Astyanax mexicanus: one gene and its partners. Each later gene encodes a partner of the first gene's protein in a complex. Links are inferred from orthologs where the notes say so. Each region holds a gene or a part of one and is shown in the gene's direction. Other genes may lie near its edges. The genes, in order: snrpf, sf3b5, rnf113a and srrm1.

Evidence for each region.
Region 2: snrpf (region 1) and sf3b5 share a complex: the UniProt entries of both Homo sapiens proteins name them as parts of the minor spliceosome. The link is inferred for Astyanax mexicanus from reciprocal best matches to the Homo sapiens genes SNRPF and SF3B5.
Region 3: snrpf (region 1) and rnf113a share a complex: the UniProt entries of both Homo sapiens proteins name them as parts of the minor spliceosome. The link is inferred for Astyanax mexicanus from reciprocal best matches to the Homo sapiens genes SNRPF and RNF113A.
Region 4: snrpf (region 1) and srrm1 share a complex: the UniProt entries of both Homo sapiens proteins name them as parts of the minor spliceosome. The link is inferred for Astyanax mexicanus from reciprocal best matches to the Homo sapiens genes SNRPF and SRRM1.

The regions. Positions count from the first base shown.
Region 1 is NC_064415.1:29,818,503-29,826,626, forward strand, and holds snrpf (small nuclear ribonucleoprotein F), read left to right. Parts: upstream 1-5,057; 5' UTR 5,058-5,221; coding exon 5,222-5,224; intron 5,225-5,708; coding exon 5,709-5,834; intron 5,835-7,384; coding exon 7,385-7,449; intron 7,450-7,803; coding exon 7,804-7,870; 3' UTR 7,871-8,032; downstream 8,033-8,124. UniProt on the Homo sapiens protein: Plays a role in pre-mRNA splicing as a core component of the spliceosomal U1, U2, U4 and U5 small nuclear ribonucleoproteins (snRNPs), the building blocks of the spliceosome.
Region 2 is NC_064414.1:43,716,240-43,724,499, forward strand, and holds the start of sf3b5 (splicing factor 3B subunit 5), read left to right. Parts: upstream 1-5,091; 5' UTR 5,092-5,294; intron 5,295-8,260. UniProt on the Homo sapiens protein: Component of the 17S U2 SnRNP complex of the spliceosome, a large ribonucleoprotein complex that removes introns from transcribed pre-mRNAs.
Region 3 is NC_064426.1:20,935,997-20,944,089, forward strand, and holds the start of rnf113a (E3 ubiquitin-protein ligase RNF113A), read left to right. Parts: upstream 1-4,997; 5' UTR 4,998-5,032; coding exon 5,033-5,135; intron 5,136-5,514; coding exon 5,515-5,594; intron 5,595-6,433; coding exon 6,434-6,532; intron 6,533-7,631; coding exon 7,632-7,739; intron 7,740-8,093. Other genes in the region: snrnp70 (U1 small nuclear ribonucleoprotein 70 kDa), read right to left, coding at 676-740, 836-890, 1,009-1,071, 2,254-2,400. UniProt on the Homo sapiens protein: Required for pre-mRNA splicing as component of the spliceosome. As a component of the minor spliceosome, involved in the splicing of U12-type introns in pre-mRNAs. E3 ubiquitin-protein ligase that catalyzes the transfer of ubiquitin onto target proteins.
Region 4 is NC_064421.1:41,979,925-41,987,629, forward strand, and holds the start of srrm1 (serine/arginine repetitive matrix protein 1), read left to right. Parts: upstream 1-4,660; 5' UTR 4,661-4,739; coding exon 4,740-4,760; intron 4,761-6,738; coding exon 6,739-6,828; intron 6,829-6,942; coding exon 6,943-7,065; intron 7,066-7,071; exon of another isoform or gene 7,072-7,705. UniProt on the Homo sapiens protein: Part of pre- and post-splicing multiprotein mRNP complexes. As a component of the minor spliceosome, involved in the splicing of U12-type introns in pre-mRNAs. Involved in numerous pre-mRNA processing events.

The DNA.
Region 1 (8,124 bases):
TGCACAGGAATGTGAAATGAAGTTGTTGCAGTGACACAACCAGTTATTAAGTTTGATTATATAGGTGCTGCACACTGTGATTCCTTTTCTAATAGATGAAATCATATTTTAAAAATGTATTCTCCTTTTGAAACCATATAGTGTCACAAATGTACAAAAATGGATGAAGGGACAAGTACTTTTTAAATGAAAATTGAAAACATAAATTAATTTACAAAAAAATATTTTAAAACCTGAACACCTCAGAAGCTCTTATCTTCTCAAATGCAGACATTAAGAAGATCACTTCAGACCAGGCTTTATAAGCATCCGATTGGTCAATTTGTTTACTCTTGGCCTTTTATGCATAACCTTCCTGCAGTGCTTCTGTATTTCAGCACAATGTCTTAGATTGTCATTGGAAAGTATACAATGTAAAAAACATGTAAAAGAGCCAAATCTAATTCCGAGCTACATTTTTAACATTATATTACATTACATTACATTTGGCAGACGCTTTTGTCCAAAGTGACTTACACTAATGAAGTACAAAAGTAACAGACGTTAAAGGTAAAACATCTTTAGACAGGGCCTGAAGGAGGTCAAAGGGAAATAATGGGACAGAGGAGTAGAGGAAAGGAAAAGGAAATGAGGTTAGCAGTAGTTAGTGTGTTATAGGTGTTAAGAGAGTAAGTGCTCTTTGAAGAGCTCTGTCTTCAGGTAGGAAGGAGCTGTTCTGTCATCACCTTGTAGGCGATTGTAAGAGCTTTGAATTTGATACGAGCATCAACTGGTAGCCAGTGGAGCTCAATGAGCAGTGGGGTGATGTGCCCATTTTGGCTGATTGAAGACCAGACGTGATGCTGCACTCTGGATTGTCCTGAAACATGCTGAATTTTTGATAAATGGGTTGATTTATGCCAGATTATCCTCAGGGTGCAGAAAAGAGTAAGGTTAATAAGTATAATAAATGATTGTTTAATAGGGCTTTGAACTCAAGAGGCTGTGAATCCTCATGTTCAGTCATTAAGTTGTAAAGCAGATTGAAATGTAATTGGAATGACATAAATGTATAATTATAGTTATCAAATGTAATCAAAATGGCATATTTTTGACAATCTCTTTGTTGCTGCTGAAGATCCTTGTAGCACAATCATCTGTGTGTTACTTATGTATCCTAGAACATAAATAAGTCACATTGTGGGTGCAAACCTGATTCCAAATTACGTATAAAACTCATAAACTCATAAGATAAAAAGTAACTTCACTGTTGGTTCTATATATTCCATATACTGTTACTGTCCAATAAAAACAAGTATCTCCAAAACAGCAACTTTTCAGAAAAGAGGTGAAACCATCTTAACTTTTAATATGGAAGTCAATGTAAAAAGAGGTTTTTTTTGGTAATTTTGGAGATTTTCTATTTGTGCATACATCAAGGAATGTTGACATATAAGGGAAATAAGGGAAAATTTGTGTGTCCAAATTATGTAGTAAACTAAAAATCTACAGAAATCAAGACAATTGTTTTTTTTTTGCACAGCAACATACTGTTAGTTCTTAAATATAATATGCAGATACTGAAATTGTTTTCCTTATAAATAAATAAAAGTCAAATCAAATTACATTTCGAATACACAGTCAAACATACTTCAAAAAACTAGCATTAATATGAACATAAGGGTATTAGAGGGTAATAAAATATCTTTTTTTTAAGATTTTGGACTCAAGAGGCTGTGAATCAACATGTCTTTGTGGCCCAGTGGCCTAATGGATAAGGCATCAGCCTCCGGAGCTGGGGATTGTGGGTTCGAGTCCCACCTGGGTCGATGTTTAGGTTCCACATAGGAGTGAACAGTTCTAGGAGCTGGCCATTGTGGGTTTGAGTCCCACCTGGGTCGATGTTTAGGTTCCACATAGGAGTGAACAGTTCTAGACTTTGGCCCTTGGACTATAGTCAAAACACACCAAACTTAACTCCTCAGTTAATTACCAGGCAAAGTCAGTGGTTTTAAGTAGGCCAGCAACCAAACTCACTTTTAGATTTTTCATAAGTACTACCCCTGGAATGATTTCCAGTGTAATTATTTTTTTATTTTATTGCTGCTCCCACTCATAAACATTTTGGGTAAATACTTCTGTGTTGTGATTGATGTTTCAATAAACCTCAATTTTAATTTATCCTTTTATCCCGTTTACCCTAGGGTGCAGGACTGTAAAGAGTATAAGGTAAGAGCATAAGGGAAAAAAATAATTACTTGACAGGGTTTGGCACTCTAGAGGCTGTTAATTACCAAGACATTGTGGCCCGGTGACCTAATGAATAAGGCATCAGCCTCCGGAGCTGGGGATTGTGGGTTCGAGTCCCACCTGGGTCGTTGTTTAGGTTCCCAACAGGGGTGCACAGTTCCAGACCAGAGCACACCTGATTTAACTCCTCAGTGAATTACCAGGCAAAGTAGGTGGCTTTAAGTAGGTCAACTGCCAAACTCACTTTAAGATTCATCATAAGTAATACCCATGCAATGATATGTGTATTTTTTATAATTTATCTTCTATATGTTCTTTCTGTAAAACAGACGATTAAACAGTTCATTGTATAATTGCTCCCACTCATAAACATTTTGGTTAAATACTTATGTTTTGAGATTTTTTTGTTTCAATAAACCTCAATTTCAATGTATATTTTGCCTGTTTACCCTAAGGGTGCAGAAAAGAGTATATGGTAATGGAATAAGGGTAATAAAAATAGTTTGGCATGGGTTTTGCACTCAAGAGGCTGTGAATCAACATGTGTTTGTGGCCCAGTGGCCTAACGGATAAGGCATCAGCCTCTTGAGACACTTTTGGGGTTTCTGGACGCAGCCATGCAATGATTTCCAGTGTAAGTAATTTTATAGTGTATCTCCTAAATGTCCCTTCTGTAAAACAGAACGTTAAACAGTTCGTTGTTTATTTGTATAGTTGTTCCCACTCAAAAATATTTTGGGTAAATTTTTGCCTCTTTACCCTCAGGGTGCAGGACTATAATGAGTACAAGGTAAGGGCATAAGGGTAATGAATAATTTTTAACAGGTTTTTGCACTCAAGAGGCTGTGAATCAACATGTGTTTGTGGCCCAGTGGCCTAATGGATAAGGCATCAGCCTCCGGAGCTGGAAATTGTGGGTTTGAATCCCATCTGGGTTGTTGTTTAAGTTACCACTGAGAAATGTGTTTGAAGGCCACGTATAAATGATAAATAACTACATGTTTAAGAAGGTGTCCCCTGTATAATTGTACTAGTAATCTGTGGAAACGATCAGGAAAATACATGGAAGGTCTAATGGGGCTGATCTTTTGTGTTTTTCCTGCTCTAACACATGTGACTCGACCAGTCAGGAATTGCATGTTTTAAAAGAGGAAAATACTTAAATGTTCATGAATGTGGTATTTTTGGTTTACCAATTTGAACAACTGGATAGGTATATGATTTAAGGTGGTGCTCCAACAAGTGTAAACAAGATTGAAATGTGCTGGGAATTACATTTAAGCCATTTAAATGTATGATTATAAATAATTTTCATATTCAAACATACATGATACAAGTAGCACTAAAATATCTTAATAACTGTCCCATTACATGAAACAATAAGATAAGATATTACATTATTTTCATAAAATAGTTGTTTGAAAAGGTTTTAGCCTTAAGGGGCAGTGAAACACACTGTGTTTGTGGCCCAGTGGCCTAATGGATAAGGCATCAGCCTCCGGAGCTGGGGATTGTGGGTTTGAGTCCCATCTGGGTCGTTGTTTAAGTTCCCAAAAGTAGTGCAGCTCTAGACCTGGAGGGTCACCCTCCAGTGTTCGGAAGGTGGACTACTCAAGCACACCTGATTCAACTCCTCACGTAATTACCAGGCTAAGTAGGTGGCTTTAGATTCTTCATAAGTACTACCCAGCATAATGCATCTCGTAAATGTCCCTACTGTAAAACCGTAAATTAAGCATTTTGTTATTTAGTCTTTATTTACTCACTTTGCCTTTGGGACTGAGTTTTAAAATAATAATAAAAATGTTGAACGGCGAATTCATTTTTTTGAATGGCAGTGCCATCTAAAGGCCAGAGCGGGTAATGCGGTTGAAGAGAACAACATTAGATAGATAGATAGATAGATAGATAGATAGATAGATAGATAGATAGATAGATAGATAGATAGATAGATAGATAGATAGATAGATAGATAGATAGATAGATAGATAGTACAAGCACCGTGAGAAACCTAAAACTATAGAAAATGCTAACTGAGGCTTGAAAAATAAACTATACCTTATAGGATATATACAAAATACTGCTGTATGTAAGTGTTAATAGTGTGCAGGAGTGGGAATGTACAGTAAAGTATTATATATTTTTATCTAATTTATTAATCTAAGAAAAAAACTCAGACGACTTTCCTCTCCCCCTGTCACCCATGTAAAATCCAATGTAATGTTTTCCCTCGTGCCCTGTCATGTGGCTCCGTTCACTGCAGATATACAGCTCTGGAAAAAAAAGAAACCACTTAAAAATGATGGGTTTCTTTGATTTTACCAAACTGAAAACCTTATAACAAGCCAAAGCTTATCAAACCGAGCTGAACTGCTTGAACTTTTTGCTCCAGGAGTGGCATAAAGTTATCTAAAAGCAGTGTGTAAGACTGGTGGAGAAGAATTATTCCACTTTAACTTTATGAATATGAACTTGTTTTCTTTGCATTATTTGAGTTCTGAAAGCTCTGCATCTTTTTTGTTATTTCAGCCATTTCTCATTTTTTGCAAATAAATGCTGTAAATTACGATAATTTATTTGGAATTTGGGAGAAATGTTGTCCGTAGTTTATAGAATAAAACAACAATGTTCATTTTACTGAAACATATACCTATAAATAGAAAAATCAGATAAACCGATTCTGAAACTGAAGAGGTCTCGTAATGTTTGTTCTAGAGCTGTATAATAAGTGAGTTATCTTTCACTCCTCTATACTCTGTACCGGGCGCCCCCTGTTGGTCGTGATGAAGTGTAGCCGCTGTAAAGCTCCTCCGGCGCGGCGCGGGGGCGCTGTGGTACGGGCGGCTCTATTGTTTGCGGGTCAGAGCTCGACTCTTCACTCGTGGTCCTTCCCTTTCCTGGCGGCAAGGCGTGCGAGTGAGCTTCTGAAACACAAGCGTCTGAATGAAACACTTTTGAAGGTTTTCCGAAGCCTGATATTTTTTGATTAAACATGGTGAGTACTCAGCGTGACCGCCTTTAACCACACGGTCGGGTTTAGTTTAAAACTGTGATTACAGTGATGAGGACCTGAGTGCTGTGGTTAGCTAGCATGCTAATGCTAACCGGTTGCTTTGACCCGCTGCAGCAGTTCATTCATTTAAAGTAAGTTAGTTTAAAGCGACTGAAGTAAAATACCATACAGATGAGACTTTCACTAGTTAATGCTGTGTTATGGGTGAACTGAATGTGGTTTAAGTCTGAAGTCTTTGCTTGTGTAACAATATATTCAGTTTGTAATAGTCTTAGCAAGTTAGCTTTAGCTAGCTGTGTAGCAGTAGCTAACTTACGTTAGAGAAACGTAGTGTTCGTGAATGAACTTTAGCGAAGCTAGTGTTAGCGTTAGCTAGCTACTACAGCTTGCTCAGTCTGCTGGAGTAAAGCCCCACTATGTTTATTAACTATAGACTGAACCGCTGTACTCCCCTTCTGTTCCACAGAGTTTACCGCTGAACCCGAAGCCGTTCCTGAACGGTCTGACCGGAAAGCCCGTGATGGTGAAGCTGAAGTGGGGTATGGAGTACAAGGGTTACCTGGTATCAGTGGATGGATACATGAACATGCAGGTAACGTTATTCTAAATACACTTTACCCTGGTCCATAACTGATGTACAGTAATTTAGAGAATAATTGTCTAGCTATACAATATCTCCAGCATGTTTTTGTTACCCTTCTTGGTGTAGGATTATTTTGGAGTTTGTGTTAGTGATTCGAAATTCCGACTCTTTTTAGCTAGAGAATCGGTTCTTTTGGTTCGGCTCACTAAAAAGAGCCGGTGTTTTGACGAGTTGTGCTACCATGTGAAACCGCGCTACCGCGGTGTATATTTAACGTATTTAAAAATACGAGAAAAAACGCCATATTTGAAAATTCTCGCGGCAGAAGTCTCGGTAGGATTTGGAAAGCCTGATTCTATATATTATGATACAGTTCAGGGAAGCGGGGTGAGTAGTTTTATTGCTTTTATTATGAACTGCCATTTACGTAATTATTTACATTTGTAACACTGAATCTTCACCCGCTAATTTGTTATGTTGGGTAGTTGGGGCTCTTCTACTAGTAGAGGTGTGCCATATCGTTTCGCACGCGATAATACGATATTGTGAGCGATATTATACCCTGAAATATCGTGCCATATCACCCACCCCCAATTATCACATCAGGGTACTACTTTTATGCTGTTTTTAGCAAAAGAAAATTCACACTGTTCTCATTTTCCATTTTATTTCTAGTAGAGACAGATTATATCTGTCCAGTGTCATTTATTTTACTTTAATCCTGGATATATTGAGATGTGTAGAACGCATTATTAGTACCGTGACATTCTGGATCATTGACTTCTGTTACAAATCTGAGTAATTTCTGGTATTTTTTAAAATCTCAGTTAAGGGTGTGCCATATCATATCACGTGCAATAAGAAAATTTAATATTTATTTTGGTGCATTAGTGTATTCTTGAAATCATTTTTTAAATTCAGTATTTCGTTATATCGCCAAGAGTATCGTTATCGCGAAAATACCATGAAATACTGTGATATTATTTTAGGGCCATATGGTGATATGGCCCTAAAATAATATCACAGTATTTCATGGTATTTTTTTTTTATTCACCCCTATAGTAGAGCATTATTCACCCTCACAATGTTGTGGTAGTGGGTGAAATAAGTGTCTCTGCTGGTGAGCAGCAAATCTAGCAAAGCAAACTTCAGGCATCAAACATGTCTTGGCTGTTCAACTATGGTTACCATAATGGAAGTATTGAGTAAATTTGAGTGTCTACAGTTTACATTGTTCTCTTAATTTGACTCTTAAATCTTAAGTTTGTTTACTTATTGTGTGCCAGGAGTTGACAGTATGCTTTAGAGGTTGGCAATAAGATTCTTATCATACTTTTTTCCTACAGTATTTTTTTTTAAACCTATTTGAGTATGCCTTCAATTCTTTAAGAACACTGATTGTACATTTGATTAGAGTGTATTTCGCTTTACTTCAGAGTAAAAAAAAACATCTTACGTATTTATAATGACTTCAAGGGCATAATTGTGACAGTTAAAAAGTGCTTAGTTTAGTAGATAAACATTACAATTATTCAACATATTTCTATTTTTGTCTTTAGTTGGCAAACACAGAGGAGTATGTGGATGGAGCTTTAGCAGGTCACCTTGGCGAGGTGCTTGTCAGGTGAGTGGCTGTACTGATGATATTGCTGCATAGTGCATATACAATATAACCACTGTAGTGCATTTGTTCGCTACAACAGTCAATCAATGTGGAAAATGTATCTCTTATTCTTAAGTTGATTGTGCATTTCTTTAACCTCAACCTGTTTTATGTTAATTGTTTGCTAGATAGCAATTTGGCCTGAGCCAATCCATTGTTTTGGTTCTGTTTCCAAAAACAAATTATTGTGAAATGTATAATGAATAGAACTGTGTCAGATGTACCAGGAACAGAGATATAAGATCTGTACTAATTAATTATCTGTAAACTGGGGAGAGAATGTAAATTAACTAATTGTTTTCTTGTCCTTCACAGGTGTAACAATGTTTTGTATATAAGAGGTGTAGAAGAGGAGGAAGAAGATGGGGAGATGAGGGAATGAGGAGTATGCTTACAGTTAAAGATGTATAATTTAGTTTTAGTTGTATGTGAAACATTGTTTTTTTTTCTCCCCCTTTTGTAATTCATGTGTTAAAATGTTTTGTACACTATAGAAGCATAATTATGATGGCACAAGTGTGCAAATAAAATTATGCATTTTGTATTTGCTTGTGTTCCAAATTTATTTCAAGATGTATGGATGTTTTCGTTTAAACTACAAATGGGTTAGGGTAAAATACAATGTATGTATACTTT
Region 2 (8,260 bases), on another chromosome or scaffold:
GAAACCTTTGCTGTGTGTGGGCGAGCATTATCCTGCTGAAAAATCCCATTTGGAAGCCCTGTCTTCAGAGGCAACGCTGAGGTGCTTATGTCACTGCTAGGAGTATCCAACTGTCATGTAAGCTCCCCAGATCTCATCTTGAGCTCTCCAGATTATCCAGATTAAGCCAGTTGTTTTTGGATGCCAAACATAACCTGGATTCACTGCTAAAGATGCTACACTTTCAGTCTGTAGAATTTCAGATTTCTCATTCACAACCAATAGAGATGATGGTGTCTGGCTGACATATGGCTTTAAGTGGGCAATTTGATGAAACACCCATCCTGCTACCTTCAGTCCAATCAAACTCTGTTCATCTTGGAGCAAATTGTAGAGGCATGTCTGAGAGCCTTTTATAAGGCAGTAAGAGGAAGCTCTTTTATGCCCTCCCACTTTCTACTCAGAACACACCTGTAATAATTTATAAATATAAAGAATTGCATGCTGAGATTTGCAGCAAGACTGTATTTAAGTTTAAACATCCTGTAATATCTCAAAATGATTTTTTGAAAGGCAGTATGAAACACACACACACAGACTGAGCAAGCTGGACTTTTGAGATACGGATAAGCCCTGCGATTTTCCATTATTACTCATAAACCTATAATGCAAATCCCCCAGTGCTGGATGATCTGTGCTCAACAAACATGGCAGACAATCAGATATGCACAACTTGAGCAGGACACACACACATGATGCCTTATCACGACTTTATCTGCTTCAGAGATCACTGGAGCACTAAAGCCTGCAGACATCTTCTCTATTTCCAGTTTATGACATTCAGCTTTTCTGCATTATCATAAAAAAACAGTCCTCAACTTAATATGAGCAGCTAAGCTTCGTTCATTCAAGGCCATTATAATCAGCTTCTCATCTTACCAGCAACTCGCAGACAAAATCTGAAACTGAATGAGACTACGTGTCCTATTAGGAATTATTGTATATTACAAGGATGATATACTGGGGAATTATGGCTTTCTGTGGCGCTAATGAAATGCATTCTTTCATTTCCTCTAAATTGCATTAATGAGAGAGGAAAGCCATTCAGATGAAAAATGTCCCTGAAAATGGCTCCTTTTTGATACTCATTCCTCTTGGAACTGTTTCCTCTATCTCTCTGTCTCACACAGTGAAGGCTCCTATGCTTGTCATTAGTGTAATAGGCATCACGTTTATTTTTGCCGGTGTTTTATTAAGTTTAATAAATGGCTTTTCTTATGAGAGGAATCTTAACAACATGTTGTGCATGTAAACATCCCTCTTCACTAGAAGAATGAAAGCAGGATTGGCGAAAGACAGGCAGACTCATCTCATCAGGATGGAAATCAGATTTGCCCTCAGACATTACGCCCCCAAAGACAAGACAACACTTGATGAGCTGTAACTGCTGTGCCTAATAGATAAACCCAGTGGGCCCATCAGGCTGAGGCCTGTTTCAGACAACCCTGCAGATGGAGGTTCGGTTTAGTGTTGAGGCAGTAAAACACACCAGATAAAACAGATATAATGATGTATTGTTCTGATTATACACTATATGTCAATCCTCTATTGCATGATATTTTTCTTTGTTGGTAGGTTTTGTTGATCTCTCTTGATATATCAATCAGAGCATTTAGGAACCGCTGATTTAGTGTAACGGCCTTGGTTGTGGTTGAGCAGCGTATTGTTGCCCTGAGGCAGCAAATAAAAAAACACTGTTTTTAATGAGTAAATGAAAACAAATTAGCCATAAATATGAAAAAGAATGATTAAAAAACTGAACGAACAGTGTAATAATCCAAAAAATTATAATCCAAAAAATAATCCAAACATCCAAAAAACATGCCATAGAGGGATAATATAAAATATTGCAACCCTAGCTCATGCATTGTTTCTCCTGAAATCAGGCGTATTAAAACAGTTTATCCTGCTTTTGTTGGACTAACTGTCTCTGCTGTCCAGGAAAGTATTTCTACTAGATTTGTATGTAGCACTGCTGTGAGGTTTTGGTTGCATTAAGCAACTCATTGCAAAAGTATTGGATTAATCCAGAGATTCCCAAACACAATTCCACTGCTCAATAGCTCAATGCTGGTAGCTTTATAATCCTACACTATTTAAACTAAAGTACTTCAACTGAATGCATTTATTAGAAGAGGTGTCCACAAACACACTGAGGTCATGCCAAAGTTCATGAGACAGGAATGAATATTCTGTCCCATTATTATTTTGAAAGCTAAAGAATGCTGCACTGGCCTGTGAGAAATGTGTGTGGGGTCTACTGCACTGAATGTGGATGTGATTTCTTCCACTTTTCTCTTCACATGGACACTGACAAGGTAACACCTCGCAACTATTACAATTATGGAAGGTCCCAAGCTGTCCACTGAAGTAGCACTACTTATCAATGTATATACTGCTATCCCATGACTCATGTCACAGTATTTGGCCATATACTGTATATTTAATGAGGTTAAAATAAGTCCCCCAGCATATACACATCTAAAGCTTTCATCTGTTAGAGAGCAGATGAAATCAAAAACAACAACAGTTGTTTGTGTCTGTACTTCATCTGTGAGAAGATGAAAGGATGGAGGTGGAGGTGAACAAGCTGTATGTGAGAAAATTAAAAAGAAAAAAATATATAAAGAAAAAGAACATTTGATTAAATCAAACTGTTAAAGCTGTTCTCAGAACAATGCGTCCAGACCTCAGTGACCTGAATGTGAGAAGCTGAGCTGCAGAAAATGCTCCATTTAAAACATTTAAAACTAAACATACAGTGTAAGGTGGGTCTAAAAAGTAAAAACTGTAATGAAGGTAAGGATGGACTTTTTATAGTAAAACATCTAATATTATGTTTTCATTTTGAGGCTTTTGTGTATTTCCATTAAACGTATGTGATAAATATTTTCTGCTTGTTAATAAAGCAGCAAAAACATCTCCTTGATGTCAGTCTTGACTGAAACTGAATTAAATATAGAGAAGTCTCCAGCTTTGACTATTTCAGCATTTTTAGGTTTAAAGGTACTCCTGCAGAGACTGATAAAATACAGGGCCAATCTGATTCAGACAATAAAGTCTGAGGTAAACAAATGTGGCCGGAATTCATCCATGGCAAAGAGCCACGGTTTGCTTTGTGCCAGCAGCTAAACAAAGTAAAAACCCAGTGAGCACATTTATAACCTCACTCTTCAGCCTGAAGTGCAGAGAAAACAAAACGATAAAAGGATATAGTGCAGTGTACGCTGTGTTACACACACTGTTTTCACTATATTTGTTTAAATGTAGGTAAAAAATACTAACATTCAGCCCATTTTGCCTCCTTAGTTACCCCTAGAATATATACATTATTAAATAATATAATATTATTAACTCCTCTCAGTCTGTTCTCTGCTATTTTCATAATAACTCTGAAGTTGCTTTACTTACTTGATATGTATCAAACATGATGTCACAAACTCTCATTTTAAACAAAAACACAAGAACTATAAGTGTCTATAACATGTGCTCCATTGTTGTTGCAAAATCTGTTACAAATAACAAGAGCTTACTGAACCACATTGCAGCTCAATGTACTTTTCACAATAAAGGAAATCTTGTAGATTGTGTAGATATGAATAAAAATGCAGTTAATAATATAATATAATATAATATAATATAATATAATATAATATAATATAATACTGTATATAGCAATATGTAAGCTCTCTATCTTACATATCCTGTAGTAATAGTGCATATACAGCACCATTCAAAAGTGTGCACAAACCTTTTCTCATTTAATGTGTTTTCTTCCTTTTTTATGATATTTTTACATTCATTTTAAATTTAATATTGAATACTATATTAAAGCTTTACAGGAGCACATGCAGAATTATTTAGTAAAAAGAAGTTTAACAAACCAGAATATGTTTTATACTTTAGATTATTTTAAGTGCCACACTCTTGGTATTTAAATTTCAGTGTCTTTATGAGGTGCTGAAAAATAATTGCTGCTTTATTTTTTTTCTTTCACACGTTTTTTACCCATCTCAGCTGATCAGGTTTAGGTCAGGGGATTGTGGAGAACAAACACTTTTTTTGTTTACTACATAAATTCATATGTGTTCCTTAATTGTTTTAATGTCTTTAACATTAATCTACATTGTAGAAGATAAATAAATAAATAAATGCATCCTGTATTTTGTTTTATATTGTTTACTTTTTATGTATAAAAAAATATTACATGTATACAGTACAAAAGTAAAGTTGGGTTTATGTCAGGGGATTTTATGCCACTTTTTTTTGTTTACTACCTAATTCCATATGTGTCTCTTGATTGTTTTTATGTCTTTAATATTAATCTACATTGTAGAAAATGAATAAACAAAAAAAATAAATAAATAAAAACATTGAATAAGAAGGCGTGTCCTGACTTTTGACTGTATTCTGTATTTTATGTTTTATATTGTGTACGTTTCATGTAAGCTACAACAAATATTACAGTTATTAAGTACAAAACTAAACATAACAAGTCAAGTCAAGTCAAGTAGTTTTATTGTCAATACTGCATATGTACAGGACATACAGAGAATTGAAATTACGTTACTCTCCTTCCCAATTTTACAGCAAGTACAGATAATAGATAAAATAAAAGAAAGAATGGGAGACACTATGTGTACAATACAGCAGGGACACAAATAGACATACATGAGACAAAAACAAGGTGCAGTGGTGTGGGGGAGGAATAGATATATAAATATAAGTAAATAAGTAAAAATAGATATATAATTATAATATAAAAGAGTGGGAGACACTATATGTTCAATACAGCAAGACACAATAAACATACGTAAGACAATAGTGCAATATTGATGGTGATCGAGATGGAATGACAGTAAAAATGGTAAATAACAGTAGTGCAAATACTAAATAATACATGTAATTGTTCATCTTTTTTTGCCTATTTACATTTTGTAAGCAGTGAGTTTAGCTGTAATATGTACAGTAGCTTAATATGTGTTGAATATTTAATCTGTTTGTAGAAACTATAATATAGCGGATTGTTTATGCAGTGGGAGGAGACACGGGGAGAGCGGCGGAACTGTCGGAGGGTGATCTGTGTTGCACCTCGGCGCGTTTTAAGAGTTACTGGTTCCTCCCCGCACTGCTTCATTTCGTAGCTTTCGCTTCATCTCTAAACAGCTCTGAAACTTTAGAGATAAAGGCGAAACATCTACTTTTAACGGAAGAACTGTGAGATAAGACAACACAGCGGTTATTTCTGCAACCAGGTATGATTTTAATCTCCTGTTTTAAATGTTATGTCGTTAAATAGACCGTGTTTAGCCGCTGAGCTAATGCTAAGCTGAGATAATGGAGAGCTCGGCGCTGCCGCAGTGTATATTGTGAGTCAGAGTTTCTTAGGATATTTAGCTATTAGGAGTTTAGGTATAAAATATAGATTTATTACTCTGCTGCTGCTGCTGAGCGGATTTATTGCGACCGCATCCAGAGTTTAACTGACCAAAAGAAGAATAAGGGCATCTGGGCAATGGACTTCATTTGCTTTCTTATTTTGGTTATTATTCATACGTTAAAGTTAATGTTTTTTTGTTTTTTTTTTAAGAATATTTACAAAGTTATTGTGAATTTATTTAGGCCAAAACTTACTCTACGAAAGCTGTAAAATATTAATTACTATTCTTATTATAAAGTAATACGCTGTGATCTCTCTGTAATTTTACAATCATTTACTAACACCTATTTTTGCTGTTAACTTGCTGTAAAGACTGGCAAGAAACGCATATACAGCCTCTATTGTAGGGGTGGGCGATATGGCCCTAAAATAATATCACGATATTTCATGGTATTTTCGCGATAACGATGCTCTTGGCGATATGACGAAATACTGAATAAAAATTCATGATTCAAATGATGTCAAGAACTACTACACTAGTGCACGAAAATGAATATTATTTATTTTATTGCATGTGATATGATATGGCACACCATTAACTGAGATTTTAAAAAATACCAAAAATTACTCCAGAATCCAAAATTAATCCAGAATGTCATTGTACTAATAATGTGTTCTACATATCTCCATATGTCCAGGATTAAAGTAAAATAAATGATACTGGACAGATATAATCTGTCTCTAGTAGATATAAAATGGAAATGAGAACAGTGTGATTTTTTTTCTTTTGCTAAAAACAGCATAAAAGTTGTACCTTGATGTGATAATTGGGGGTGGGTGATATGGCACGATATTTCAGGGTATAATATCGCTCACAATATCGAAAAATTGTGGCGGTATTATTGCGTACGATACGATATGGCACACCCCTACTCTATTGAATTGGAGTAACCAAAATAAACAAAGCCTAAAGGTAATTTTATTCAGTGTAACGTTTAACAGTTCAGTTTTGAGTCTGACCGTTTGAGTCTAAATTTGTAAGTAGAAAATTGGAGGTAAAACTTTTTTATAGCCCTGTCAGGATACGATTTTCTTTGTGAACCATATGTGGTCCCAAAAATGTTTGTGATAAACAATTTTATCATTTTAAGACCATTATACATATATACACTGTCATACATGTGTACAAACAATAATGTTTTTTGTAATGTTTATTGTATTGATAAGTTGATAATTTAATTTATCGTGATAGGCAAATGTTACAATCCAACTGAATTTTGTTACAAATTGAAAAAAAGAGGGAAATTTAACTACATGTAACTTCATAAACACAACCATTCACTACTCAACTCAAGTTCTTGAACAAATACTTTGCTCTTGCAAAGATTGACAATTAGGTCCTTAAACTTGATATACAGGGGAAACTGAGAGTTTAAATAATAATGATAGGATGTATAAAATATAAATACCAAACCATATATAATAGATCATATAAACCAAGATAATATAAAATAAATAAGATATGAAATAAAGCAAATTAAAGATAAACAATGTATGTTTAAGTCTTTGCATTTATAAATTAAGAAAAATTACCCAGCATTAAACATCTTGTGACCCCCTCAAGCAGCAATTACTTCAACCCAACGTTTCTAGTAATTGGTGATAAATCCTGCAGAAGGGGTTGGAGGCATGTTTACTCTTTGCTGGTTTAACATTGCGAAAGGTGCTGTATGATGATTCATTACCAGGTTTGATTGGTATCTGTGATTGGCCTACTGCTATTGTTCTCGAGAACACTTGTTCTCAGTCCAACTCTAATGGCAGTCTGCTCTTGTCCTTTAAGAGGAAAAGCAGTACCCAACCATTAAGCTGCTACTCCCGTTCTTTAGTGATGGCATTGGGTTCTTTTGTTGGACTACATTGTTCAGTTTTCCCCAAGCAAAACACTTCGTTCATTTCATCCAAAAGGTTCTATTTAGGATTCTACACAACACTATAGAACACAAAGAAAACACATATAATATGTATGGTCATTTTAATAATGGACTGTAATGGTCTGCAGCACAGGGCGTCTGTGAGCTGATGTTCCGGAACCGAGAAGCTGCGCTGTCCTCCGAGCGCGCTGGCTGCTCGGCAATGCTGCATCAGCAGCAGCTCGAAAAGAAGCAGACTCATGGTGTATTCATTACTAATGATAGGGGGAGTCCTAATGAGTGGGTTGGGTAATTGGCCGTGTAAATTCGGAAGAAAATGAGGGGGAAAAAAAACCAATACTAAATGTATCCATGTTGTGTTTTAACAAAGCTGAAATTGCTTTAAAACAATACTGTTTGTTTTTTTGTACTGCAAACTGACTTCTCAAGTAAAAGCTAAATGCATTTAACTTTTAACATGTTTCAACATTACACACTTATATGTTTTGTTCATAGAATCATAGAAAAGTCTCCTTCATAGTGTGTTTAAATTTACAGTCACAAAATGATGTGCTACATGTGGATCAGTTTGGTAAAGACTGGAAAAAAGATAGTGGATGGTTAAATTTAGGACGTTTGTGCACTTAAGTGATGCTTAAGGGAGTTATTGTCATATTTCTTATCTCGGGAGGTGTTTGGCACCTGGCCCTGTGAAGGTTATGAAGTGTGCTGGACCAGCAGCCGCTTCAGGGGCGCTTTTTGTCTGGCTGCCCATTTTCCAGGTCATTTCTTCCATTTTGCTGCCTTGGAGTTATTAGTCTTTTTCAGTTTCAATTTTGTCATCCACCCAACGAAATGATTAACTGTCCTTGGAGAAACTTTAAGCATATGTTTCAGAAGTTAAAACCTTTTATCATGTTTTTAGCCT
Region 3 (8,093 bases), on another chromosome or scaffold:
TATTAAGTTGAACGATTTCCTAAAAAAATACGTTTTTCAGACGTTGTCCAATACGGACCCATACCGGACCCAACTACTGAGAAAGATTTAATTCTGACAGTGTTCATTTAAAGCACCGGAACTTTTCTTGTCTTTACGGTATACGCGCAGTGAACTTCCAATCACGTGTGGTGTAAAATCTTTAAATGCTCTCCTCTGCCAATCAAATTTGTGGCAGACCGCTGCCCTGGCTAGTGAATTGGGACGCGGCCGCAAAAAAACGCTTTAATAAAGAGATAGGGCGCAGAGAACTGGCGAAAAACGAAAACGGGCAGAAACTAAAGACACGCCGAGCGCGAGAGAGAGAGACAGGGGAGAAAGCGAGACGCGTGTGATTGGGGAAGAGCGGAGGGGGAATGGGTAAGGGAGCGGTGTGTGTGTGTGTGTGTGTGTGTGGAGGAGATGAGGTGGAGAGACAGAGAGAGAGTAACGCACAGTGACTTAAATAAGTAACTTTAATCTGATTACTGGATTGGAAATAGTAACGCGTTAGATTGCTCGTTACTGAAAAAAAGGGTCAGATTAGAGTAACGCGTTACTAAGTAACGCGTTACTGACATCACTGATTAATATTGTGTCTAGAAGTCTAGAAATTTTAAAATAATCAAAAAAAAGGAAAGGACAAAAAAAACTTACAACTCGAGCCACAAACAAGGTCTTGAAAGCATCTCCTTGGGCATTTGGATCATTATGAGGATCCCCTGCAAAAAGAAATGAAAGAATGAAGTCGGACTGAGTTGGTGCTCAGGCTGGAATGTGTAACTCTTAAGATCCTTAAAATACATTGCATACTTACACAATTTCAGCTCTGTCTCCACTACCGTTTGCCGCCTCTCCATTTTCTCACGCCTCTGTGAAAAGAACACGACATACAGTCATTAAGATAATGCCAGAAAACACAGACAATGTGTCTCACTAGTCCTTGTTAAGCTTTTTTTCTATCATATAAAAACATCACAATATTCTCACCTTTCTCTCCAACCTCTCCTCGCGCGTTTCGGCTCTTGTGGGTGGCGGTGCATCTCTAGGGTCCTGATTGAAAGGAAGGATAAAGATTAAAAACGCAACACAAGATTAAAATAAAATTAATTAATGACCTGTACAAAACCATTACAGTTGATTTACAACTTATCACAGAGGAATCTCTCTAGTTGATGAGGAGCTAAGGTTTTTAAAAATAGGTAAAAAGATTTATATGTTAAGATCCTAATAAATATTAATAATACGGCAATACCTCTAATGACTAGTGGTTTTGTATATAGTAAATGGAGCTAAATGCTAAACCTTCAAATTAAAAATAATAATTTACTACTTGTTCTGAGTACTTCTTTAATTTCAGTAAAAGCAAAGAAAGCTTGCCTATATATTTTAGTTTATCTACAGAAAAAAAGCTTTTACACTGCAAAAGCACTAGCATTACTGGTACTGTGAGCTGATTGGTTGGCAAGCTGAGCCTCGATATACAGGTAGTGCACATTTAAAAGGCTTAAAATTTATGTCTGCTGTACTGAAACATTTGATTAATAGATCCGTGTTGAAGACAGTTATAAAAAAAATAAAAATAAATAAATAAAAAAAGAAATTTTTAAAGTCTGATTTTGCTCAGTTGCTTAATATGAACATATTCATGTTCGACACATTGCAAGTGTGTTTTCTCCTCTATGGAGATTCTCTGGCATGGCATCGCTAGTTCTCATGTGTGTTTAGTCCGGGTGCGCACGAAAGGAAACGTGTTTCTGGAAAGCAGCCAGGTAAGTCTGTGATTTCCCACAGCAAAAAAATTTGCTGTTTGAGATCCGGTGTAGACATTCAGTTGTGTAGTGTCTCAACAACAAGTCGTGTAGTGTGAATAACGCAGGGATGTGTTTTGGACCAATGGTTTTCTCTTTCTCCATGATTTCATTGCCAGTATGTAGCCGCTGCTCCTGACTCCCAGTCGCAGACTGGGTCAGATATCTAGCATGCCAAATACTTGCTGTGAGTCTAATTCATGTTACACAACTGTGCAAGTGCTGAGAGATCCCTGATTTGGCTCTGAGCAGACTTTTTGTCAGCAGTCAACAAAAAACTGTTGGTGACTGAAAAACTGGACTAAAACAGGGTAGTGTGAACCTGGCATAAGTGTTCACACTACATAAAGTTACCTACAAGTGTACTTACATAACATTAAGTACCTACAAGTGTGGCATAACATGCAATTTTACTAATTCATACCTCGAAGTGCTTGATGAAGGGAGCGATCCCAGAGTACGGCTGGTTGTGGTGTTTTTCATGGGGCAGCTTCTCCAACTGTGGCAGAAACGGAATGGGGTCCCGCGGGGCAAACAAGGCCAGCAGGTTTGGGGGCAGAAACTGAGTCATTGTTCACCTAAACAGAGCAGAGAAATGGCCATTTAACAATATTACACAATATTACGATTAAATGTCATTACATTGTAGATTAGGCCAGCAAGGAATTCACAAAGAAACTAAAAACGTCAAACTCTAAAGAACAGGGTCTGAGACCCACTGCTTGATAAAGGTATGGGCCACAAAGAGACTACAGAGACCAGACAAGTAAAATCAACACTATCAGAGAAGTAAACAACCCAATTCCTGTGAGGTAAAAGTATCAATTCAGAACCCAGTTTGGCTCATTAGACACACACAACATTAAGATAGTAAATTAGCGCTAGCCAGCTAGCTTAGCATTACAAAACTCAATACAAGCAAGCTAAGCTAGCTAACACAACACATTTAATCTACATGGATAAATTTAAATTATTTACTCAATTAATTAAGATAAATTAATCCACCAATACAAACCTACATTTAGTGTAAATCCATAAAGAGTACCAAACTGACGCTGAAACCTATATATGTTAGCTAAATAACCTATGTGTGTGGTAGCTAGCGTAGCGCATAGGGCTTGGTTGTGCTAGCTAGCAGCTAGCCATGTTTAAATAAGCGAGCAAAAGGTGCGCCCTCGACCAAGGTCCCTTACTAGTCTGCACTTAGCTAACGCTAACTCGGTTCCAACTAATACTCTTTTTAACTTAAACTAGCAAACATACACTTTATAAGCCACATCATGAAGACCACACGCACCTACTCCGCTTAACTAAAACAAAATATAATTAAATAAAAAAAATTCTAGCCAAACGTGCCCACTCCCAAAGCTTTCTAGAATTTAGTTCACAAGAGCGCGTATTGGAGCACAGCCCGCTTTCTCCGAGGCCTCGTGTCGGACATTAAATTACCTCAGCTCCGCATCCAATCCGCGCAGAATCTCCGAGCTCCGCAAAATAACGACTTCAGCAGCTCCCACAGAGCCTCCCAGTGTAGACTGTTACTGTAACACCAGTCTGTACTGGTCGCTTTCACTAGTTTCGTTACTGCTCAGTTCTCCAGCTCCTCTCCGCGCTGCGCGCTCTCTCAAAATGGCGCCACGCCGTAAATCGCTACAATTCATGAAGGGGCATTGTTTACGACAGTAGTTCACAGTTGGCGGCATTACTTGGCAACGTCAGAAGGTATCAGTGTGTCCCAATTCAGGGGATGCACCCTTCAGAGGCCGTATTGGAAGAATCCTGCCCCTAAATTGGCACACGATGTTTCTGTATTTATTTTTTCAGTGAGACGTATTTTATCTTTATTATGTGTTCAGTACCTTAAATTGTATATGTTGTAATTGCATGTGCGGCATGTCTTGTATTTTTATTTATAAAACAATTACATAAACTGTTTATTTGTACATATGTATGTATTGTATCATTAAATTATAAAATATAAAAAATAAGAGACCATTTAAAAATGAAGAGTTTCTTTGATTTTACCTAATTAACAACCCCTGGATTATAATCAAGAGAAAGATGAATGATCACAAGCCATCAAACCAAGCCAAACAACTATAATTTTTGCACCAGGCATAGCATAAAGTTATCCAAAAGCAGTGTGTAAGACAGGTGGAGGAGAACATGCCAAGATGCATGAAAACTGTGATTAAATAACTACGGTTATTCCACCAAATATTGATTTCTGAACTCTTAAAACTTTTTGAGTATGAACTTGTTTGCTTTGCATTAGTTGAGGTCTGAAAGTTCTGCATCTTTTTTGTTATTTCAGCCATTTCTCATTTTCTGCAAATAAATGCTCTTAATGACAATATTTGTATTTGGAATTTGGGAGAAATATCCATAGTTTATAGTATAAAACAACATTTTATTTAAACATTCACATATAAATAGTAAAATCAGAGACACATATTGAGAAACTGAAGTGGTCTCTTATTTTTTTTCTTGCTTTCTTAACGATTTTTATATTTTTATACTATATTATCTTATCTTCCTGACCTCCACTCATGCGATGGCACTTCTTCTTCATCCTGCTCCTCCTCCTCCTCCTCCTGTCTAGCAGCTGCCAGCCTAGAAGCCAGGCTCTATCTAGTCAACCCTTAAAAAATTTATGGTATTTAAAATAGCAGTTTCCATGCCTGGATAGGTTTTGGAAAACTAGAAATACCCAGAAAGGTTTGGTAAAATTAAAATTTGCAGGCTACATATGTGTGTTTTCATTTATCGACTGAGAAAAGCTATTTTGAGCTAACAAATATATCAGCTCAGAGTTAGTTCTGTATAATAGCCTTACACAATGAAGCTCTCAGGATCTGACACACATTTTATTATTATTATCATAAATTGTGTGAACATTACTTTTTTTTTATTTATAGTTTTAGTTGATTTTTGATTGTATTGTCCGCACTGATGTTTTAAAGATTGTATAGACATGACAATTTGCCTTGGAGACATGAAAAAGTCCTGAAAATGTATTGGTTAAAAAGTGTATAAACCTGGATAAAGTTACAGTAGGTATAGCGCTGCCACAGGCCTGAAACTGCTGCTGTGAATCCGCTGTCGTATATCCGTGCAGTTCCTCTCCAGGCGGCGAGAGGCGCTGTGTTAAAGCTGTAGCTGCTCTTCTGTCTCTGAGTGTAGTTTATTTTCATTAGTTAAAGATGGCGGAATCCGAGGAGACTAAAGCGACCTGCACGTTTTTGTTCAAAAAATCCAGTAAGAAGTTTTCAGCTCGGAAGAGAAAAGCCAGCGACAGCGACAAAGGTAAACTTTATTAGGCGGTTTTTACTATTTTAGTGAGTGTAGAGGGGTTAAATCTGTTATAATACAAGTAATAAATGCTGAGGAGGAGGCGAAGATTGAGTATTTCATATGTAACGTTATGTGTTCTGTTCCTCCGCGGACAGCGCAGCCTAAAGACTGTAAATTATTATGAATATATCTTTATATTGTGTTTATTTATCTGTAAAGTCCGGACGGGTAACTTAGAGCTAGAACAGAACCACCGCTCTGTTTAAGGTGGAATGAGAGATAGAATTAAGACGCAGCTCCATATTTATATCCTCGGTTTTAGTCAGTGTTTGGTCTGAATATAGAGTTTACTCCAGAGAATCAGGCTCAGTAACTCTGCTCCCTGTGTCAGACAGAAGCAGTGATGAGGAGAAGAACGCCGTGGTCAGAAGAGAGAAGAAACCCGTCTCTGCGAACCCCATGTTCCAGAGGGTGAGTGCACTAATCCAGGTCTTTATGGAATACAACGTTGCCAGGTCCAACACAAATATCCAGCCTAAATCAGTCTAAAACCCGCCCTTCAAAAGCTTAAACTAGCCCAAAATATATGTTTGAAGCAAATGGCAAAACAACCGTGAGGTTACGACTTAGTATTTTTTTTATTTAAGGGATTTATTATCAGTATTGCTGTTTATCTTAAAGTAATTAATAATATTGTGACATTAGTGTTTTATTAGTTCCTTTATAACAGTTCTGTATCCCAGTTAGGAACATTTAATAGTAACATAAGTAGCAAAAAAAATTACTTACTCATATCTGTTCCTGCCCCTCCTGAACTCTCTTCTCTCCTATTTTAACGTTTTCTTCATTACCTGGTGATTTCTGGTTACATTGTTAACACCTCTAAATGCGTTATTTTTTGTGCCTGGTTCTGTAACATTGGCCTCTATGAATCTGTGCCCAACTCAGCACAAAGTTCCAATAAAATGGCTCTTAGGAACCTAACTCGGCTCATTAACCAGAAACCAGAATCATCATTCACCAAAAAATAATAAAATCTTCATCAAAACAGGTTGTCGCATATTTGTCTAGGGCTAGGTCTTTGGGTAATGCCAAAAATTTCATAACGACAGACAGTGCATTTTTCATTTACATATCTGCCTTAGATATAACAGCATATCTAATGTTTTAACAATACAGTGTGTGTTAGTAATTTATTTTGTTAATTAGTGTGTTTTCTATTTGCTTTATTATTTTTGTGACTCTGCTTTGCAAGTCCTGTCTATATTTTATGGTTTTAGTTCATTAACCAACCAAAATCCCTGTTTCAGACAAAGAAGGTGGAGCGGGAAGCCGTCTCATCAAGTGAAAGTGAAGAAGACAAAGAAGCCAAAAAGATCACAGTGGCTTATAAATCCACCCGCTCAGCGGTAAGAAAACCTGCCCCAAGAATCAGTATTATGTTTAATTGCTCTTTTTTGTGTTCAAAGGAACAATCAGTAATAAATGGAAACGAGTGTGTGAAATTGGGGTGGGCGATATGGCTCTAAAATAATATCATGATATTTCAGAGTATTTTTACGATAACGATATACTTGGCGATATAGGAAAACTAAAATAATTCATTCATTTCAGGAATATAGTATAATAGTATAACAGAATAATCATAATGTGGCAAAATAAATTATATAGCATAAAATAATATGATGCTGCAAATATTATTGCAGAATATTTAGAGCATGCATATAAACTGCAAACTAAAACAATTATACAATAAATACACCTTAAGCTTCACAGTAAATAATAGACTTCTTTTAAGACAGAACAGCCCTATTATCACGATATGTATTTTTAATATCATGATATTTCTGTGTCAGGATATATTGTATACGATATAATATTGCCCACCCCTAGTGTGAAATAGCTTCAGGAGTTCAATTTTCAAACATTGGAGAGAGTTTTCTGCCCCACCCTCTCTTTCCCAAATGTTGAGCTCGCGCGGGTTGCAAGAACAATTGTCGACGAGTCTCACTGTTTAGCTAATCAGCACATGTATACATTTGTTTCATTGTTCTAAATGCCCATCTATACTACTCTAGTGGTGGTGGTAAATATGCTTAGCAACCTTACTAGAACTCAGTTCAGCCAAAAAAGTAACCAGCCTGTCCATTTCCATTTCACAACCCTGAGTGTGGAAAAGGGAGTGGGGGAATGGAAGTGGGTAGATTTTAATGCAAACTCCCACATAGATTTCCATGAGGTACCAAATAATTAAAATATAATTACAGCCTTATGCTCTGCTCTCAAGAGCTGCCAGTGCTGTCAGAGTTACTATGGAAAATCTAATCCTTAATGCTTTTTTTAAAATGGTATGTTATTCATATTATTGTTTTATTATATTCTAATGCATTCAACCTGCGTTTTTACATGAGCAGTTATTATGATGATGATTTCTTCTTCTTCTTCTTCTTCTTCCTTTTTAATTCTGTTTAAACTTTGCTGATGGGCTGATTTTTATATGTGAAACAGAAACCTGAAGGGCCAGAGGACATGGGGGCAACAGCTGTGTATGCACTGGACACAGAAAAAGACAAAGACGCTCAGGCCATCTTTGAGCGCAGCCAGAAAATTCAGGAGGTGAGGAACAAATCTGTCAGTGATAACTGAATTTGTAGTTAATTTCACAAAAAATTCTCTTCATCTGTTATGCTCCTGTGCATGATATGTATGCTATTGTAAATCAGTTTATAGAGTTTATAGAGCTGGGCGATATGGGGAAAAGGTATTGATTGTACCATGATATTTAAAGATTTTTTAAAGATATGCAGCTCTGGAAATAAGAGACCACTTAAAAATGATGAGTTGAAAAAAATTGAAATTGAAAACCTCTGGAATATAATCAAGAGGAAGATGGATGATCACAAGCCATCAAACCGAACTGAACTGCTTAAATTGTTGCACCAGGAGTGCAGGCATAAAGTTATCCAAAAG
Region 4 (7,705 bases), on another chromosome or scaffold:
GAAAAGGTAGCAAATCTTTGTTAACACTAACTTTTCTTTTTGCATCGTAATGTTGTTACGACCTCCAGATATCTTCGTGCTTCTACGTCTCTCTCTCATAAAAGTTGTAGCTCATTGCAGTATCCAGCCAATTTGGCTCATTAGCAGCCAGGTTAAGCTAAACTTTTTGCCAATGTTAATGAGTATAGCTAATTAGCAGCCAGGTTAAGATAACCTAATTTGCTGTGTTAATGAACATAGCTCATTAGCAATCAGGTTAAGATAGCTTAACTGGCTGTGTTAATGAGTATAGCTCATTAGCAACCAGGTTAAGCTAGCCTAACTGGCTCTGTTATTGAAAAAAAAAATACCTTATTGGCCGCTAGGTTACGCTAACCTAATTAGCTTTGTTATAAGAAACAAGGGAAATTAACCAAATTTGCTTTGTTAATGCAAATAGCTTATTAGCAGCCAGGTTAAGCTAACCTAATGAGATGGTTCTGTTAATAAATACAGCTCATTGGCATCCAGGAGAACTGACTGTGTTAATGAATATAGCTCATTAGCAGCAAAGTTATGCTAAGCTAACTTGCTCTGGTAATAAATATAGCTCATTGCCAGCCAACTAAACTACCAGAATTGGCTGTGTTAAAGAATACAACTTATTAGCAGCAACGTTATGCTAAGCTTACTTGCTCTGTTAATAAATATAGCTCATTAGCAGCCTAAGAAATGAACCTAACTGGTTCTGTTAATGAATATAGGTCATTAGCAGTCAGGAAAATTAACCTAACTGGTAGTGGCAGTGAATATAGCTTATTAGTAGTGAAGTTATGCTATGCTAACTTTCTATGGTAATAAATTTAGCTCATTAGCATCCAGGTGAACTAACCAAACTTGCTAGCTTAAAGAATATAGCTCATTAGTAGTCAGGTTAAGCTAAACTAATTGGCTCTGTTAATGCTAGTAGCTCATTAGCAGCCAGGGTAAGCTGGCTAAACAAAACATTTATGCAAATGAATATAGCCTGATTGTTTCTTCTAATGAATATATTGTTTATTATCAGCCAGGTTACTGAATATGGTTATTAGCATTTAGTTTGCGTTAAACATTTTACTAGCATCCGTTCATATCTAGTTATCCCCAGTGAAATAAACATTACTATGTATTTAATTATGTCAGTTAAATAAAACTAATAATGCTGTTATACTAGAAATCCTGGGACAAAAAAAAACTTTTTTTTTCTTTTTCCCATCAAATTGTACTTTCAACCTACTAATATTTCTGTTATTCTACATACTATATTTTACTGTCCTAAAATTATCATTTATCATTTTCTTACTCTGCTTTTGTTCAATAGTATTGTAATGAAACTTGGTTGTCTTGGTTTGACTGCTCTGGGACAGATTTTACTCTCAATTCCCTGTAACCTCAGGGAACCATCATCGGCTATCAGGCTTGATGGTTACATAGTCTTAAGGGTGTTGACCAGAGTGCAGTGTTTGGGATTGGCTCTGGGTGCTTCTCTTAAACACAGTTGTTCCTTATGATGGTCTTGTCTGGTTAGGGGCCTTATTTATTTTTTATGGCACTTAGAAGTTTAGCATTTAGTTTGGTGGTGTGGATTTTCTATAACTAGATATTTATTTTTTATTTAACAAATAACATATGAATTCAGACTGCTCTTATGCTCAAAGTAATGATAATATAAACAGGCACCATCTGGTTCAATATTATTGGTCTTGTCCGTAATGTACTCAATCATATCATTCTGAATTACCACTAAATGCTGCCTTGTATTTCCCTGTTTCTCCATTCACAAAACCTAGCCTTTCATGCTGAAGTTCCAATTACGTTCTTCTGTCCCGTCATCCATATAGCTGTTTAACGTCATTGGGATAATACAAGTACTTCTTTTCAATCTTACTCAAGCTCATTCTCGCTCTCCCTCTCTCTTTCTTTGCCTTACTCTTGCAAATAAGTGAGTATGATGTATAGGTCAAAGACCATTTGTTTTCCAGCCAATTCATGCCAATATGACACTGCAAAAACTGGACAACAGCTCTTACACAGGCCTGGGCCCATGGATAAACACTGCAGTTGGGGCCAGTTCAATTTCAGAAAAGTCAATTCAGCAGGTGAACCAAATTCAGGGGACGAACACAATTCACAACGAATCTGCTCAGTATTACAATTTAGCGTTTGAGACAGAGCATCTCCTGAACTATACACAGAAACTCTCTCCTTCTCCATCTATGGGGTGTGATTTTGGGGGGCCCAACTGATATTGTGTAGAGATAAGCCTTTACAATATGTTAACATTTCATATTGAAGGCACATTAGCTTATTGTTTTCATGCCGAAATTGGGGGAATAAATTGCAGTGTAAATTTATATCAGAAAAAAAAATAAAACAAAATTCTCCCAATGGAAAGGTTCTTTTTTTATTTCTTCAAAGACTGTTTTGATTTCTGACATTTTAAAAGGTAAAAGAGCAAAAAAACAGCATGATGATAGAAATCATGCTAGACGTTTAACAAATGGAATCTTGTGGATCTACGATACTCTAGGATAATGCTTGTAGTGATAATCTGGGACATTCTTCTGATTTTCCTGAGGAAACCCTCCCAAATATTTATTTATCTATCTATATATTGGTAGGAATTGCCTTAAAACACTAGTAAAGATTGTTAATTGAGTTGAATCTCCAAAGTCTTTAGCAAACAGTCATTTTTTTCAGATATGTTTTTAAGTAACACACGTCTTTTAATAGTTAAATTAATTAACTATTTCTTTCTTTCTTCCCTTCTAGGGTAAATGGAATGAAGCATATGCATATATTGTTTATTTTTGAGTTTAAGCAGCTTTAACACTTTTATCTATATTTTATACATCATTTAAAAATAACTAGTTTAAAACACTTTACACACAGGGGTTTAGGATAATGGTTTATATCAAGAGTGTGACTTCAAGTCAAAATAAAATGTGCCTTATTAATATTTATGTCAATGTTAATAGCTTGTCAAATTTGGTCTACCTTCACTGAACTAATCTCCATGATTTAGGGCTCGTCTTCAATCGGTAAGTCATGAGATTTTGACTGTAGGATACAGTACGATACTGTACGATACAGTACCTGTCAAAAGTTTGGACACCTTAAATGCAGCGTTTTTTAATTGTTTTAAAACTTTTTGCATTGTACATTAATACTAAAGCCATCTAAACTATTAAAAAACATAGGGAATTGTTTAGTAATAAAAAGTCTTAGACAAACCAGAATGTTTTATAGTTTAGATTCTGCAAAGTAGTACCTCTTGCTTAGATGACAGTTTTGCTCATCTTGGCTGGATTTTCTCACTCAGCTTTATGAGGAAGAGTCACCTGGAATTGCTTTCAGTTAACAGCTGTGCTGATCTTGCCTCTTAATGTGTTTTAGAGCATTTCAAGAACTTTAAAAGTATCCTGAAGTGCCGTCACAAAGACCATCAAAACCATTATGATGATCATCAGAACCGCCCCAGGAAAGGAAGAGCAGGAGTTTCCTCTGTTGCACAGGATAAGATCATCAGAGTTACCATCCTCAGAAACCCAAAGTTAACAGCTCCCCAGATAAGAGCATCTAAATGTTTCAGAGTTTTTTGGTTTATTTAACACTTTTAAGTTTCATCATAATCTGGATGACTTCAGTATTTATTTACAATGTAGGAAAAAAATTAAAACATTAAAAAGGAAAAGATGTGTCCCATGTTTTAAACGGTACTGTAAATTATATACTTTTGAACTATTGCTCATTTTAGAGGAGCCAAAACAACTGTCATTTGTTTTGTTTTTTTGTGTGTTTTCTAAAAAAAAAAAAAACATGTAATATAAAATTATTTATTGGGGATTGTGTTCGAAAGGTGTTGATACCCAGGCCTGGAAGATATACCATGCAACATTTTATATCGTTAGCCTGGAAACTGTGTTTTTCCCACATTTGCTTCTCATAAAGTGCTTTGGAATAATAGTGTTATTACAATTGGAATAAAATCATTGTTTTTCCCTAAACGGTATAATCAAGATAACGTTTTTGTTTTATTTAGCAAGGATGGGAATATCCTTTTTTATTATTTTTAATTGGAAATAATCTATTTCTTATTTCATTTAAAGAATGTAAAATTGTTATTAAAACTATTCCCACTGGTTTAAATCATTTAATGAATACTGAATTAAATTGTATAACATTACCTTTTTTACCTCAAAGACATAATTTGTTATATTAAATAAAATAAAAAATCTCCTGAAACTGGAACTGTATTATATTCATGAAGAACATTTTTTTTGAAGAATACACCCAAATTCACATTTTTTTAACTGAAATTCAATGTATCATGTAAAGCTTTAGAATTGTTAATGACACAAAAAAACACTAAATTTCTAAAAAGCTATGATGGGATTTTTGACATGTAAGTGTATTGGGGGAAATGGAACGTTTGGGTTTTTTATGTTTATGTTCTCATTGATATTATATATATACATTACATTTTGTATTGTATTGTATGTATTATACCGTTTGTATATGTGTGCACAGCATATTGCAAAGTGCAATGAAAAAATATCCTTAATAGTGCGCACTACTTAGTGTGTAAGTGCGCAGGGATCCAGAGCGCCAATCGGGACGGGGCCGGGCTTCTTCTGGTAAATGAGCTCAGCAGCGCGGTGGGTTGTGGGGGACGGCAGCGCGTTTTCCACAGACGGTTTTTGTCGCACCTCTCGGTGGAAATGGACGCGGGATTTTTCCGCGTAAGTTCCCGTTCAAGCTGGATTTACTGCGTTTTGGCGGGACGTTAGGAAATAGGGGGTTACTGTGGATGTATGTAGTTAATAACCTGGCGTTTATTCGCCTTATTTTACTGCAGTATTGGAGCCCTGTACCGCGGCGCTAGCAGTGATTAGCCGGTATGCTAGCTAGCTTAGGTAGCTTAGCTAAGCTAACTTAGCCAAGCTAACTTAGCCTAGCCTGGAGAGCGAGCGTAGTGCGGAATGGCAAGAGAGCGGCTAGGGGATATGTTATTAGTTGAATAGGTTAATTTCGGTATAACAGACTTCTGTAAATGTCTTTAGGTCGCTTGTCTTGATGGTATATATCTACAGCCACGCTTTTAATCTGGTTACATATCTTATTAAAGTGTAGAATAGTCGTAACTCTTAAGCGGCGGTCTGCGCGCGGCCGGGCTGTGTTCCCATTAAACCTGTCGGTTAGCATGCAAGCTAACGTTCCTCTTAGCTTCCACTCGCAGAGCAGAAAACTGCGCTGTTTCTGCTTTTAATACCAGGATTTAACACAGTTTACTGATAATTCTCTTTATCTGTAGATTAAAGAAAACACGTAAGGAGTCAGGGCGCTGTTAAATTAGTCTGGGAATACCGCTGAATAGGTCAGGTAAGATTAGGGTAGCTAGCATTAGCTGTCTCGTGCTTCCATCAGATCGTGTGGAGGAAATGCTGTGGTTAATTAGCTTGTCAGCTAACTTTAACTAACTATAGCTAACTTTATGTAGTAAGAGTCTATAACATAGTTAGTGTTAACTAGTTGACTATGCCATTTAAATTCAGTATATTTAGGGATGTACAGATAAGGGAATTATTTGCTGATATCAAATAACGTTATATATGAAAAGTTGTGTATCTGCCAATATACAGTTTACAACTATATAAAAAGGGTCCATTATTTAATAGTATTTGCTACAGAACGTTTTAACTAATTATTTACTGAAATTTGTTAAGACATTGTTAACCATTACAACATAATTTAACTAACGTCTCAATTTATTACCATTTGTTCATAACATTATGATGCATAATTTAACACTAATTGTATACCTTACATTTTAGATTTTAAGCAATTGTGTCCGAACAATAGAATTAAAGATTTCTTATGAGAATTTTACTTATTTACATTTTTGGTTTCCAAATTTATTTAGGTACAGTTAACTAGTTCTTACATAGACTGGTCAAAACGTTAACCCCTCTTTTTTAACTTAACAGGTTAAATAAAACAAATATATTAAAAGTAATAAATATGAGCATAAATCAATGTGTTTTAAAATGTATTTATTTTTTTATTAAATTAAGGAAATAATTTATTATATTGATAGAATGCAATGTTAAATAAAGGGAATGCTGCTTTTATTAATTTTGTTTCAAATAAGGAAATAATTAATTTAAAGAAACAGATTGTTAAGCTTCAAGTTATGTCTTTGAGGCAATGCTTTATTCAGTTGCTGGATTTAAATATTACATTGATTAAACAATTATATTAAAAGAATGATCTATTCAGTTAAGAGGAATTTTTGTTCAATCGTGGAAACGGAATGACTGACACATGACCACTGCAGGGTTAAATAAAATTGTTATTGGTTCTCTTACACACTCCACAGAATTGTTATGTGCATGCTACTTATGTTAATAGTGTTCTTCTAATGCTCATAATGATTTATCAATTTGCAAGATAACTTGGATGATTTTTGGGGTAAATAGAAGAAAATAAGTTAGTCAACAGGTTAGGCTTCCTACCACACCACAATGTAAATAATTTATAACTTTAGTATCACAAGTAGGAATGTGTAAGGAAGATTTGAAGGCGCTTTAAGAATCCAGGGTTTTGGCTTATCTTAAATCCATGCTTTACACCAACAAGGTTGTTGATGTCAGTTTTTCCTGGGACCTTGAAATTAATCTGCATAACTTTCCAATTCATACACTTAACTCTTTTATGCAGGGAACGAGTGCGGAGCAAGATAATCGCTTCAGCAACAAACACAAGAAGTTGCTGAAGCAGCTGAAGTTTGCAGAATGTCTGGAGAAAAAGGTTTGACAATGTTTTTATTTTGTTTTACAGCATGAACATATGTTCTTGTTTGTCTGTTAGTTTTCAATGTTTTGTTTTTTTGACGTATTTTCTTTCAATTTTTTTGTCTTTAAGGTGGATATGACAAAGGTAAACCTGGAGGTCATCAAGCCCTGGATCACCCAGCGAGTGACGGAGATCCTTGGCTTTGAGGACGATGTCGTCATCGAGTTCATTTTTAACCAGCTGGAGGAGAAGGTAGCCTTCATTGATTCTGTTCCTCTGCTCTTTTTGTGGTTACATGCAGGCAGGATTTGCAGTAGTTGTTCTTTTTACATCATCTGGATGGCAGAGGGGTTGGAGAAAAGGGCATTGCAACAGACATGTGCTTTAGAGTCTAACTTGAACCCATTATTGTAGCAGCACAGTGTCACCTGTCTGGTAGAAATGGGTAAAGAATCATATGGACTTGCTGAAGATGCTGAACTTGCTTTGTGGGGTTTTGACGTCTTTTCTAATGATGATGTGATTTATGATTTAAAAGGCCTGAACCAATATGGATGTAATACCTTGCAACAGAAGTATAGCACCAACACCTAATTAGATCTCACCTGAGCCCAAAGTCTCACTGAACCCAACTCTCCCTTGATGATGAACTTTGTTTTTGGAGGTGAGTTATGATCAGGGATTGTACGTATAGAATCGTGTCAAATTTAATTAGTAGTTTGCTTTTTTCCAGAATTGAAATTGATAATTTCAGTTTAAAATGCTTTTGTGTTTGGGCACTAACTGTGCAGAACCAGATATCCCATGATTTTTTTTAATGTTAATTAGCAAAAAAAGTTGAAGTAAATAGTTAACAATATTTTGTACTTTATATGCAAAAACAGTGTTTTTA